Linked DNA regions of Drosophila melanogaster. The gene in region 1 interacts genetically with each later gene. Each region holds a gene or a part of one and is shown on either strand. Other genes may lie near its edges. The genes, in order: caup and dap.

Region 1 (5,241 bases):
GCTCCCAAGGATATGCGACATGTGCCACAGTTCACATGTCCGAAGTCATCAAACAAATCACTCAGAGATATTGATTCAAGGAGGTAAACACTGCAGAAAACATTCGATTCAATTAAAATATACTCCAATTAGCATGATACTCATTTTACATATTTTCTTAAACATTTAGTATTTATTTAATATAAGCTTATAATTATGCTAAATATAAATTATATATAGATTATTTGAAATGTTCATCTTGTGTATCTTCAAAATATCGAAACTTAAAAAATTACACGAGTATAGTCCTGCTTATTTGATGATTCAGAAATTGTTTTAATATATGATTACTTTACATAACGTTTTGGTATGATTGGATTGCATTTATGTTGTTTTCAATTGAAGAATAACTATTTGCAACTTTTAAACCAATCACAATTTGGCTCTTTAGAAATTCAATTTTTAAAAGCATACATTTTAAATTTCATGGATGAATTCTTTATTCTCAAATGCATTTCTTTCATGTGAATCCTTTCGTATTCCAGATCCCCAGACTCATGAAGTGGGTGTAGAATTTCGTGGCGCCGCCAAGAGCGTCCAGAAATTGAGTACCGATCAGGAGTTTGGGCATTCGGACACTTTTCCCAAAAATACCCGGTGCATTTTCATTTTCCTATGCAAATGACACATTGCTACACACACATTTACATATGCGTTCGTTTGTAAGTACCGAAAAAAGTGCCACATGTGCGTCTCTTTTGACTTTGAGATGCACTCGCATTTATAATAAATGGCAGCGCGTTAACACCCCAAAACATCAAAATACTCATTTTACAAAAATTCCCCAAAAACGTTCAGTTCCCCTCCCCACCCCGCCCGCTCCACATACCATTAATTAGAACGCACTCGACTCGAGGACCCTCAAATGGACCGGCCACGCCCCCTTCCTTGGATCGAATGGAATCGGATTGTTTGTTTGTTTTTTCTCCTATTTCGGTATCTTGTTACGATTAGCTAGTCCCAATTAGCTGCGATTTTCGTGATTTGGCCTTGAGATATTGGAGCATTAAGCACTTTTATGGGAAATGTACAATGCATATATCAAGCTATTTTTAAAAAAACACACACACACTGTAATGATTAAATGTTGTTGATGTTACCAATAACGTACGGATTAGTTTTCTTAAATAAAATTAGATTTTGGCTTTATATACTTGCAGACCTTCTAAAATAATTTAATTTGATTACTTTTTAGATTTTCCAAGTCCTTACACCACCCAAAATTTAAATGCACATTAAAATATCAAACTTTTTGTTTATTGGGAGCCAAGATAGAAAAGCAAATATGTTTATTAAAATATAAAAACATGCTTATATTTGTTTGCTGTATGTTATTTTTTGTAGTTTGATGTGACATAGATTATATTTATTTCAGCTGGGCTTATAAAAAAGGTTTTATGTTTTTGTTATTTTAATATTGAAAATTCTCTTTTAAAATTTCAAAGAATAATTGGAAGCGGATCAAATAAAACACTAAACTACTCAATATTAAAGAGATTGTATACCCACTCGTCTTGAAAAACATATCTTTATATGCCTGCAAATTTTCTTAAACATTATATTTAATTAATTAAATTAATGTTTGATTTTTTGAGATTGTAGAAAAATGTTCCAATTCTTCCCACGAATGTATGCCCAGACGTATTTTGACCAGTTATTATGATAGCAAATCTTCAGCAACTCTTTTCTAGTTTTTCCAATTATTTCTGTATTGTACTTTTTTATCAAAATCGGAAAATTCTTAGCCAACTTTGGCTACAATATCCAATTGGGAAGCCTTTCGATCGTGGTCCGCCATGAAATCGCTTCCAACGTCGACAGAGAGGGGTCGGCAGAAAGAGAGCGTCGACTTACTTTCCAGTGCTTGGAGGTGGGCGTTCTCAACGAACAAAGCAACAACAGCCCCAGAGAGTCTACCCTTCTCACTCGTTACCAGACCACTCACAGACGTGCAAGCGAGAAGGCTGCTGCTCGTGGCTGCCAGTCTGATTGGAACGCTGGCCAATGGGAGAGCTCCTAACTGGCTGGCTCTCTCGCGGCCCTGCAGCCATCCCGTTTACATCGCTGCTGCCATCTCTGTCACACGCAACCGCGCTGCTCGCTGAGCGGCCGAAAAACAGTTTGTTCCGAAACGCGAATAGGTGCGCATCTTCGCATCTTGGCATCTCCGCCGCGTCGCCCAGTAAACTCGAAAAAAGGCCGAAACGAAAGTACCGACGAACGAGTTACAGTCACCGGATAAGTCACAGTCGGTTATTGAGTCGCAGTCACTGCCGTCGTCACCGTGGAGATACCGCTGACAGGTTGGAACGGAACCCGTTTTTACTGGAGCATTGCCAGCGGATCGGATCGGCAGATGCAACCGACGTAGATAATGAAGTGCGTGCAATAGTTATGATAAAAGTAAATACGAAAAAAAGGGACCCGAAAAGACAGGCAAACCTCTCTAGAAATGTCTCGTTAAATATCAAAAGAAACTCGCCATAAATTCGAAACTATGTTTATTATTATGGATCACATATCAAAAAGTTTCCTAAGCTGACTTTAAAAAATTTCGATACAGTGTGGAAAAAACTGAAATACCAATCAGTGGGTAAACTCGCAAACCAAACTGACACATTCTTTTGACCGAAGACTGAAGAGCCGCGTACATTTGTAAATCTGTTTGCGGCAAACACTTGAATCCAATTTGCTTTGCCCGGCTGTCGTCTGTGTGTGTCTTTTTTTAACCATTTTGGTAACCGGCCGCCAAAGAGTCAAACAGAGTCAATAAAAATCAAGTTAAAACGGATGAAAACGGACGAGCGAAATAAAACAGCAAAGTCACACAAAACAAACAAAACATTTTCCGGCTCCGGCGACATTAACAGAACTGCTCGACATCGACAATTTGTTTTATCAATTTTCAACAAGGCCAGCCAGCAGCAGCAACAACAACAATAGCACAACACCCAACAAGCCAGCAAACAACAAAAGCGCCCAGAGTGCTTAGCCGTCGAGCACGCACGCCAAATCCGCCCAGCCACCCAACCCAACCACCCACTGGCCACCCACTTGAACCTCCCTTAAGCACCCAACACCATCCCCACATCCTTGGCCACCCCTTTTTCGAGGGCTCCGCCAGCATCCGCATCCGCAATCGCAAAAAAAAATAAGAAAACAACAAGCAAACAACGAGGGACGCCCCACAGTGAAGCCCCGGCACAGTGAACTCGCGTGTCGCCGCTCTTTAGGCCAACTCAGCCAGCGAGACAATGGCTGCATATGCGCAGTTTGGATACGCTGGCTACCCGACGGCAAATCAGGTGGGTTTATGCCGGTGGTTTGTTTAGAGATTAACAGTTAACCGTTTTTTTTAAGTCTGTATTGATTAGTAAGCAAACTTAACTTAAGTTTTAAACGGTTATTTAGCACAGACAACAATTTTAAGGAATCTTTTAGTATGGATCCAATATTGTATCTTATATATACATTTATATTTGCTTTGAAAATGTTGCTCCCTTTAGATTTTGTCAATAATATATTCAATTTTAAAAGTAACAAATTCCAAATCAATTAAAAACCTTATCCAAATTTTTTTTTGTAATCTCATAATTTGTGTTCAAACTGAAGGCCATAAATACCATATTATAAAGAGCACTTTGCTTACAATAATTATTGTGAATAGAATCTGAAGATTTATAAATACATTGATTTAAATTGAGTAGAATGCGAAAAACCAGTTGAAAGAGCAAATTTCTGAATTATTGCTACTGGGTGCCTTAAATTTAAATTTAAAACAGATGGCTTAGTCATAACAATTTATATTGGCCATGAAATTAAATTTATTAATTTCGTTATATGTATTTATTATATTTTGATTTACAGCTGTGCCATTTCAATATGCAGCCATAACTTAATCATTTCAAGAGACACTTGAATATACTATTTATTTAGTGCGGACTAAAATAATATTTGGCACACACACAAAAGATGTTTCATAAAACCAGAAACTGAGTCAGTTGAATATTTTGGCATGTGCGAAAAGGGAAATCTTTAATAATGGACGGTGCGAAATAACTTTAAATTTACATATTAAGCCGGCGGGTTTGGGGAGCAGCCACTGCACATGAATATTCAAGCACTTTGGCACCGGTTGGGGCTCCTGGATCCCTATATATATACATACATATATATATAGATATATATATATATATGCGGATATAGCCATAATGGCCGCCCCGCCGCCAAGAAATGTTTCACAATTTAGGACAGCCGTCACCGCCTTGGATGCAAATCGCTGGTAACCGAAGGGGGGGGTCTGGTGGGGCATTCCGGTGGCAGTGCATCGTCCGAGGTCTGGTCATAATTACCCGGTATTCGGAGCTCAGTAATTCAAATTAGTTGGCCCAAACGGGGGGAAGTGAAACACTTGCAGCTACAAAGCCCTTGCAATGCCTGTGTAAGCCATGTTCAACGACTACTATGTGGTCAAATGCGTCAATGCTAGTGCGTTTATCCTGCTGCCAATTTATGTACATTTATATATATACATATGTATATATGTGTGTATGTATACAATATTCCTGACCACGGTGGCTGGCATAAATTTATGCTAATGAAGCCGCCGGCGGAGTGGTGCACCATTTATTATAATATGCAAACTTGGTAAATTACAATAATTAAAATAATGAACGTTCAGATTATCGACTATAATTATGGCTGGAGATGTGCAAAAAGCCTTTTGCCTTGCAATCGATTAAGAGCCAACAGAATTTTGTCATCGTTTTCGGCTCATTTGCATACGTCTACTAAAGCCACTAAAAGCCACTAAATGCGACTAAGCCACCAATGAAAGACTGGTCAGTTGATATGGCATTCGGGTGCCAAATTTATGCAGTGCACACACTCGGGTTCTCATTAATTTAATTTTAATTTCGACGCCAAGACGGCATTCCAAATATAAAAAAAAACGACAATATATAAATTTAATCAACGGCTGACAGTTGGCAGTAGCAAAAGAACTTGCAGGCACATCGCACATCGAATTCTTAACTTCCCATGCGAGCTGTTCACGCATTTCATGGCAAAATAACTAAAATTCTAAGGCAGCAAAAAGTGCGCGACGATGTCGAGTCCTGGATTCACATAGGCTCCATCTGAAGCCCCCCCAAATTCCCCATCTCCATCTCCATTGGGACGCAAAAGGACAAGCCCGTAAAT
Region 2 (6,519 bases), on another chromosome or scaffold:
ACTGATGATATTTGCCTAGCCCTTATCTACTCGGGGGGGGGGGGGGGGGGCCATAGTTGAGTGCATATTAGGGAATTCGGATAAGATCCAATTCGATCCTACCAGCATTAAGGACTGCAATCAAGTGAATACCTTGAGTGCCATCCAATGCCCGCACGTTCCACGACAATCCTTTAGGATCTGCCCTCATAAGCGGGACACTTGAGAACCGCTTTTCCACCTCTTTTCTCAGCCTTTTTTTTTTTTGTTTTTCCGCGTGTGTTGACACAACCCATATAAAGCCAGGATATCCTGCTCGGGAGGAAATTACTTAAAGGGATCACGAACTCTTCCCCTTTCGAAAAACTCCTTCTTGAGTTGTTTATGTTTTCAGGCATGACTGCCGCCGAACGCCAGTAGAATTCTCAAATTTGTTATAAAGTGTGTAAATTCACGTTGCTTTTCTTTTTGAGGGAGGGTGTGTCCCATAAACAGAAAACCGAACCACAAGGGATCGGATCTTATGGGAGTGGAAAGGAACGAATTATGGATGGATGATGATGCTGCCTAATCGAACGTTCGTCAAACGATCTCTGCCTTTTTTGGGGTGATTGCACTCCGTTTTTTCTTGTTTTTTTTTTTCTCGGGTTTTTGTGTGGAAAGCCGATGGGTTTTCCCATTATTTCGTCGAGTGCAAAGGACAAAGCAAATGATGTCTTTAGTCTACGAATCTGACTTCCAAGGCTTTGTCCCAATTCTTTCCTTCTTATTTAATTGGATTTGTTCAAACAATATAAATCTCGTTTTATTGCCTTTGGTAGTGTAATTTAATTTTTTACGATTTTGCACACGAAAGGAAAAAAACTTTATGAAAATGCAGCACGAAATGAGCAGAAAACTTGCGTTTCACAAAGTGAACCATAACGGAAATTTGAAATACCCAGTGCTATGCAAACACCACAAGGAAATTCGAACTAGACGTGCACATTATTTTACATACATACATACATACATCGTACAAATGTATATTTGGTGGACCAGTGCCCCACAATGCAAGCGCGATTTTCCCCTTGGCAACACGAGGAAAGTGAAAAGAATTGGTGCCCCAAATGCCCCCTGCCACTTCCCTCCGACGACTAAAAATCCAGTTTGAGGCCAAACAAACCAAAACCATAACATCGTTTTTTCGTATCTTCCCATCGCAATCGCAACTAAAAGTACAGCTCCACCGATGCAACAACAACCAAGAAGGCAGCGAACAGAACACACGGATGGAAATGGCAGGGATGGGTAGATGGCGTGCGAGAGAGTGGGAGACATATGGTGAGAGAGAGAGAGGTTGTGGAAGTTGTGACGACTTTCTTGATACGCTCTATGAAGGAACCTTGGACAGTTTAAAATATAATTAAATTGGTTATTTCAAAAACATTAAAAATAAAATCTGGTTGAATACTGTTTACAAATGAACTATGGGCTTATGAGCTGTGAATATTATTTGACAGGAAATAATGAAAATAATGATAATAATAATAATAATAATAATAATGAATACGTATTATATATTGTACTATATGATGATTCCAACAATCAATAATTATATTAAAGCTCATAATATCAAAACTTTTAAACTCAGATGCCTTAGTTAAATTTTGTTAGGAAACTTTTATTTTTCTGAGTATTTTTTATACGTTTGCTATATAAGTTTAAAGAACAATTCAAAGGAAGTGCATTGCTCTTTCGATATGATTAACATTAAAAGCGCATTCTTTTTCCCTATCTCTTTCGCTCCTGCTGCTTTTCCGATCTTTTCGAATTCGAGGGTTGCTACAGAGAGAGCGTGAACCGCTCTGAATTTCCAGTTGGCAACGCCTCTGGTGGTTGTTTGACGTTTGCTTTTGCCCAGTGTTTTATTTATCTTTTATTCGTTTCTCCGAGTTCGTCGAGAGAGGTTCGCTTCGATCGGTAGCGCTATATTTAAAAATCTAGTGCGCAGTGCGCTCATAGCCGAAAAGGTTAACAAACATCGCTGTAAAAACGACTTCAAGTTGTAAAGACAAATATAATACAAAGGTGCTGCCATTGGCAGCTAACTCATACAAAAACTCCAACGAGACCCGCAAACGTTTCGTTTTGTGAGTCGACTAGCAGTGCAGTGTGTTCGAATCGCCATTCAAAGATAGTGACCAAGTGCTATTGGACCAAGGCATTTGTTTATAATTATTTTTATAAACAATTGCAGCGTGAAATTTCACTTTTGAACGCAGCAAGACGTAAAATAAGCTGCAGCACAACGCACACACAGAACACTCGCTCTCCCTCTCACATACACACACGCTCGCGTGTGGAGACCGTGATTTGTATTCGTGTGGAGACTGCCTCTCTCTCTTTTGGGGCTGTCTGAACACAAAGTTTTGGCGCCAAAAGTTTGACAGTTCGCTTTGGCGTGTAATTCGCAAACAAGTGGCAAGAAAAGTGCGTCTCAAAACAGAGTAGAAAACACTAGGGGATCCCAAAAAAATATATATTGACTCAACATGGTCAGTGCCCGAGTCCTGAATCCTGTGATGATCAGTGAGTTCTGCAAGATGAGCAGCAGCCCGGCGGTGAGTCGCAATCTGGCATGCGGTCGTCAGTTGAATCGCATAAAGCGTGACCTCTTCGGTAGCTCCAAATCCGCCGAGGGTACAGCCAACAAAACGTGAGTTTCTATAATAACAGTTGGATTTTGACCAATAGCTAACAATATATCCTCTTTAGACCCTTTAATTCCGAACTGGAGCGCCATCAAGAACTGGCCACGCAAAAATGGGGCTTTGACTTCCGCGCCGGCTGCCCTTTAGCTGAAAAATCACCCTACATTTGGGAGCGCGTCAGCTTCCAGGAGTCGAGCTTCGCCCCAGAGATGTACACCCTAACACGGGCCGCCCACGTACGCCCTTCCGCGGATGCAAGTCCTAGCGACATGGACATTTTGGTCAACGAGCGCTCAGAACGGGAGAACTTTGGCTCCAATCTGGTCAATTCCTCGCTAGAGTCGAACACGGATAATGAATCTTGTTACGACTCCCAGGACGAGTCGCTGGCAATGCGGCTTAGCTCCTCCAGCACGACAAGCACATCCTCCATAGTCCTGCGCAAGAGACAGCCAAAAATCACAGGTGAGTTTTGGGGGATGTTCTACACCATTTTGATCAGTAGAGCTTGACGGTTCCCAGGGTCAGGCTTCATTTCACTTCGATAGACGTTACAAAGTGTTTTCCCATAGCTTTCCTTTTATTCCCTGTTTATTTTCGGTTCTCAGGAGGAAGTTGAGGGTGTTTTTTTTTTTTTTTTAACTTATCAGGCTTGTTTTGTAATCGGACTGATACGATATTATTTTTCAAAATTATCTGTAGAGTAGAGAGTATTATCTAAAAATTTCCGAATATAGTGCTCGAGATATAAAAGTAGATTCGTGCTCTTTGTTTTGCAAACTCGATGAAAACGATTTTCATCAATGATTTTATGCCAAACCAATATTTTGTGCAGGATTTTGTACTTACAATACTAAACTCCATAAGGGGTTGTTTGATTGGTTTTAAGTCCACTCCTTCGCATTTATTGTTTATATTCACGTTTTAGTTGTGGGCGTTTTTCGTGAAACTTAGACCCAAATTATAGCAATTAGCCAATGCTTTGTGGGAGATTTATTTTCGTCCAGAAGGGTAAGTCAAAGCTGACTGCAGCTGTTTCAGCTCCTCATCTCCCTAAACCGAATGATTCTCTTCTGATCCTCCACAACGCGGGGGTTGGTTTCCAGATCGATAGCATGCGGGCTGGCTGGCTGCATCTATAAATGCCAACAGCTGTGACTCCGCTTTGTCTATGGCCTGACCTCATTATAGAAAACGGGAGAGGGGTCTGGGGATCGGCTTTCAATGCACCACCATCCAGAGTCCATGGTCTTATCAAACCTCCCTTTGATTGCTTTGTACTGAGCGTTTTTTATAAATGCCACTAGCACATGCATGTGTAATTATAATCATAAAAAAATTGTGTCTGTTCGGAACATAATAAATGCACCCGCATCGGGTGGTCAGTAGGGAAGCCTTTGAATCCCCCAACGCCTCAACTCGCTTTACTTAAAGTGCACTTTTTGCTGCTTTGGCCAGTAAGCTAGAGCTCATAATTTATGCAGTTATGTAGCACCACCACTCTTGCTTTCACCGGACTACCTGAAAACCGGCTAAAGACCGACTGTCTGGCTGCCGTCTGGCATTTATTTGCTACCCCTGTGCGGATCTGCAACCCTCTGGTAGGGAAGTGCTGCCGTCCACGTGCCACAATCTGGGAATCTACCCGAAACCGAAATCAAAATGTGCAAAAACAGAAAAACAGGCGGCGCCTGCTGTTTAGGGATCAGTGACTTGTGAACAGGGGCAACCGGAAATGCAGCAGCTGACTTTGATTTGGCAATTCCACCTAACACGTATTAATAACACTCGTTTTCCTTCCTTTGTTTACAGAATTCATGAAGGAGCGCAAACGTCTGGCCCAGGCACCCAAGAAACTATCGCCCGCAAAGCGCATGCGCACCAGTTCTCCCAGTTCGTCCGCCACTTCCAGCTCCAGCTCCAGCGGTGGATTTGGGTTGGGGGCACACTTTGGGGCGATGTTGAAGCGGCCGCGCCACAACTAATGCTCCAGATTCGCTGGCCAACCCACCGAATTGCAATTTGTAATTTTATTTTTTACAAGCCACTGCGATTGTGTAGTATTTCCTAATTTTTTATTACGAACCTTTTTATGCAGTGCAAGGGCGACAGTTGCGAATATTAATCGTTAGTCTTCAACTACTCGTAACCAGTAATTAGTTGTAAGTCAACCAGTAAGCTCGAGCTAAATGAAACTTTTTAGATTTCTCTAGTGAGAAATGCCATAAACTAAGTGATTAGTTCTTAACAACAAACAACTATTGAACAAGAAGAGAGAGACCGCAAGCTAAATGGAATTAGTCTTAACTATCTTGAAGCCAACCGAAATTTAACCTTTATAACGATGGAATACTAACTTTACATAACTTTGTGAAATCCTTGCAAATTTCGCCGGCAACTTTTGCATTTGAAATTTGCCGGGTGAACAAAACTCATCCTTTCTCTGCCCTGCCACTTCATCCAAGTACTGAAACTGAGGGGAGAGTAGAATTGAGTTTTGTCTTGCATATTAAGGGCGCCAAAACGATGCCCCAATAAGCCGCATTTCGGCTCATTGCTGCTTTGTTTTTGCGACCTACTAACATTGTAACCAATTCGACCAGTGGAAAACAAAAAAAAAAAAGAGGAATGCCTTTGAATTAACTTCGTCAATTTCTGCACGTTTGGATGCCTTATTTATATGAATGCCGCCGAATGGACACAAATTGTCGCGCTCTCATTTCTTAACCAGTGCTAAAAATGTCTTTTATGATTTGCTATGATCTCTGGGCAAATTATGAAAACAATTTTGCCTGAAACTATCATGTACAAAAACTAGATTATTATACATACTATACACATAGGCAGAGCCTATTCTTCATAACACTTATACAAAGCATTAATTTGTAAGGCCTAACTAAGAACAAATCCAAAGTATTCTCCTAATATTTATATGTATAGACACTCTATGTATAATTAAACCATATTCAACTCATACATCAATAAACAAAACAAAAACAACGCGATTGTCCTGTTTCAAAATTACCAACACATCCGCATTACTTTGGTTGTAGACGTAGCAGTAAAATGTAGTTTACTAAAACAATTTTGTACATTTTATAAGTTAATATTTGTTTTTCTGCAATAAATTGTTTTTGATTTTCTAGTTGGTAGTACATAAATCGCGTTTTTAATTTTTAATTTCATTTTTATAAAATATCGTGGGATGCCAACAAAATTCAATCCCGCGTCAATAGAAACGAATCATTGCTTCAGTTTTATTCAATAAATTAATTTGATTTATTGCTTACATCAAGTACATAAATATTAATTTGTTCCATTCGACGCTTTGTAGATTTACCTATGTGCCAATTAGTTGATCTGTACTCTACATACAAATATATATATCGCATATATACAGAGGGCTGTGGATATGGGCACCTACTTGCCCGCCGCCTTCTCCTCCAGCTGGGCTTGAATGTGGCGTACGTTGTGGCCGCCGCCATTGGGGTTGTGGCGCTGGAAGAAGGCGTTGATGGAGCTCATGGAGCGGTACTCCAGATTGTCGCTGACCCGCCAGTCCACGCTGATGCTCTGGTGACGACCCACCGGATTGCGGATGCGGGTCTCGTTGTATTTCTCCAACAAATGCAGCAGGCAATCCTTGGTGGTGTTGGCCGCCTCCTCCAGATTCACGGTTTGATGAGTGTCCGGCAGCCCAACGGGCACATCGCGACTCATCTGATTTATCCTGAACTTGGCTCGACGACTGCTGGCCGATTCGTTGCTGGCGCTGGTGGTAATTGGATTGCTGGCGCCGGTGGAGCTTGGGTTGCTGGCGCTGGTCGAGATTGAGTTGCTGGCGTTG

Evidence for each region.
Region 2: of caup (region 1) and dap, changing one enhances a phenotype caused by changing the other (phenotypic enhancement), as found in Drosophila melanogaster (one study listed by BioGRID).

The regions. Positions count from the first base shown.
Region 1 is NT_037436.4:12,607,476-12,612,716, forward strand, and holds the start of caup (caupolican), read left to right. Parts: upstream 1-2,155; 5' UTR 2,156-3,293; coding exon 3,294-3,344; intron 3,345-5,241. UniProt on the Drosophila melanogaster protein: Controls proneural and vein forming genes. Positive transcriptional controller of ac-sc (achaete-scute). May act as an activator that interacts with the transcriptional complex assembled on the ac and sc promoters and participates in transcription initiation.
Region 2 is NT_033778.4:9,710,427-9,716,945, forward strand, and holds dap (dacapo), read left to right. Parts: upstream 1-1,894; 5' UTR 1,895-2,513; coding exon 2,514-2,677; intron 2,678-2,736; coding exon 2,737-3,137; intron 3,138-4,484; coding exon 4,485-4,657; 3' UTR 4,658-5,830; downstream 5,831-6,519. Other genes in the region: sqa (spaghetti-squash activator), read right to left, coding at 6,093-6,519.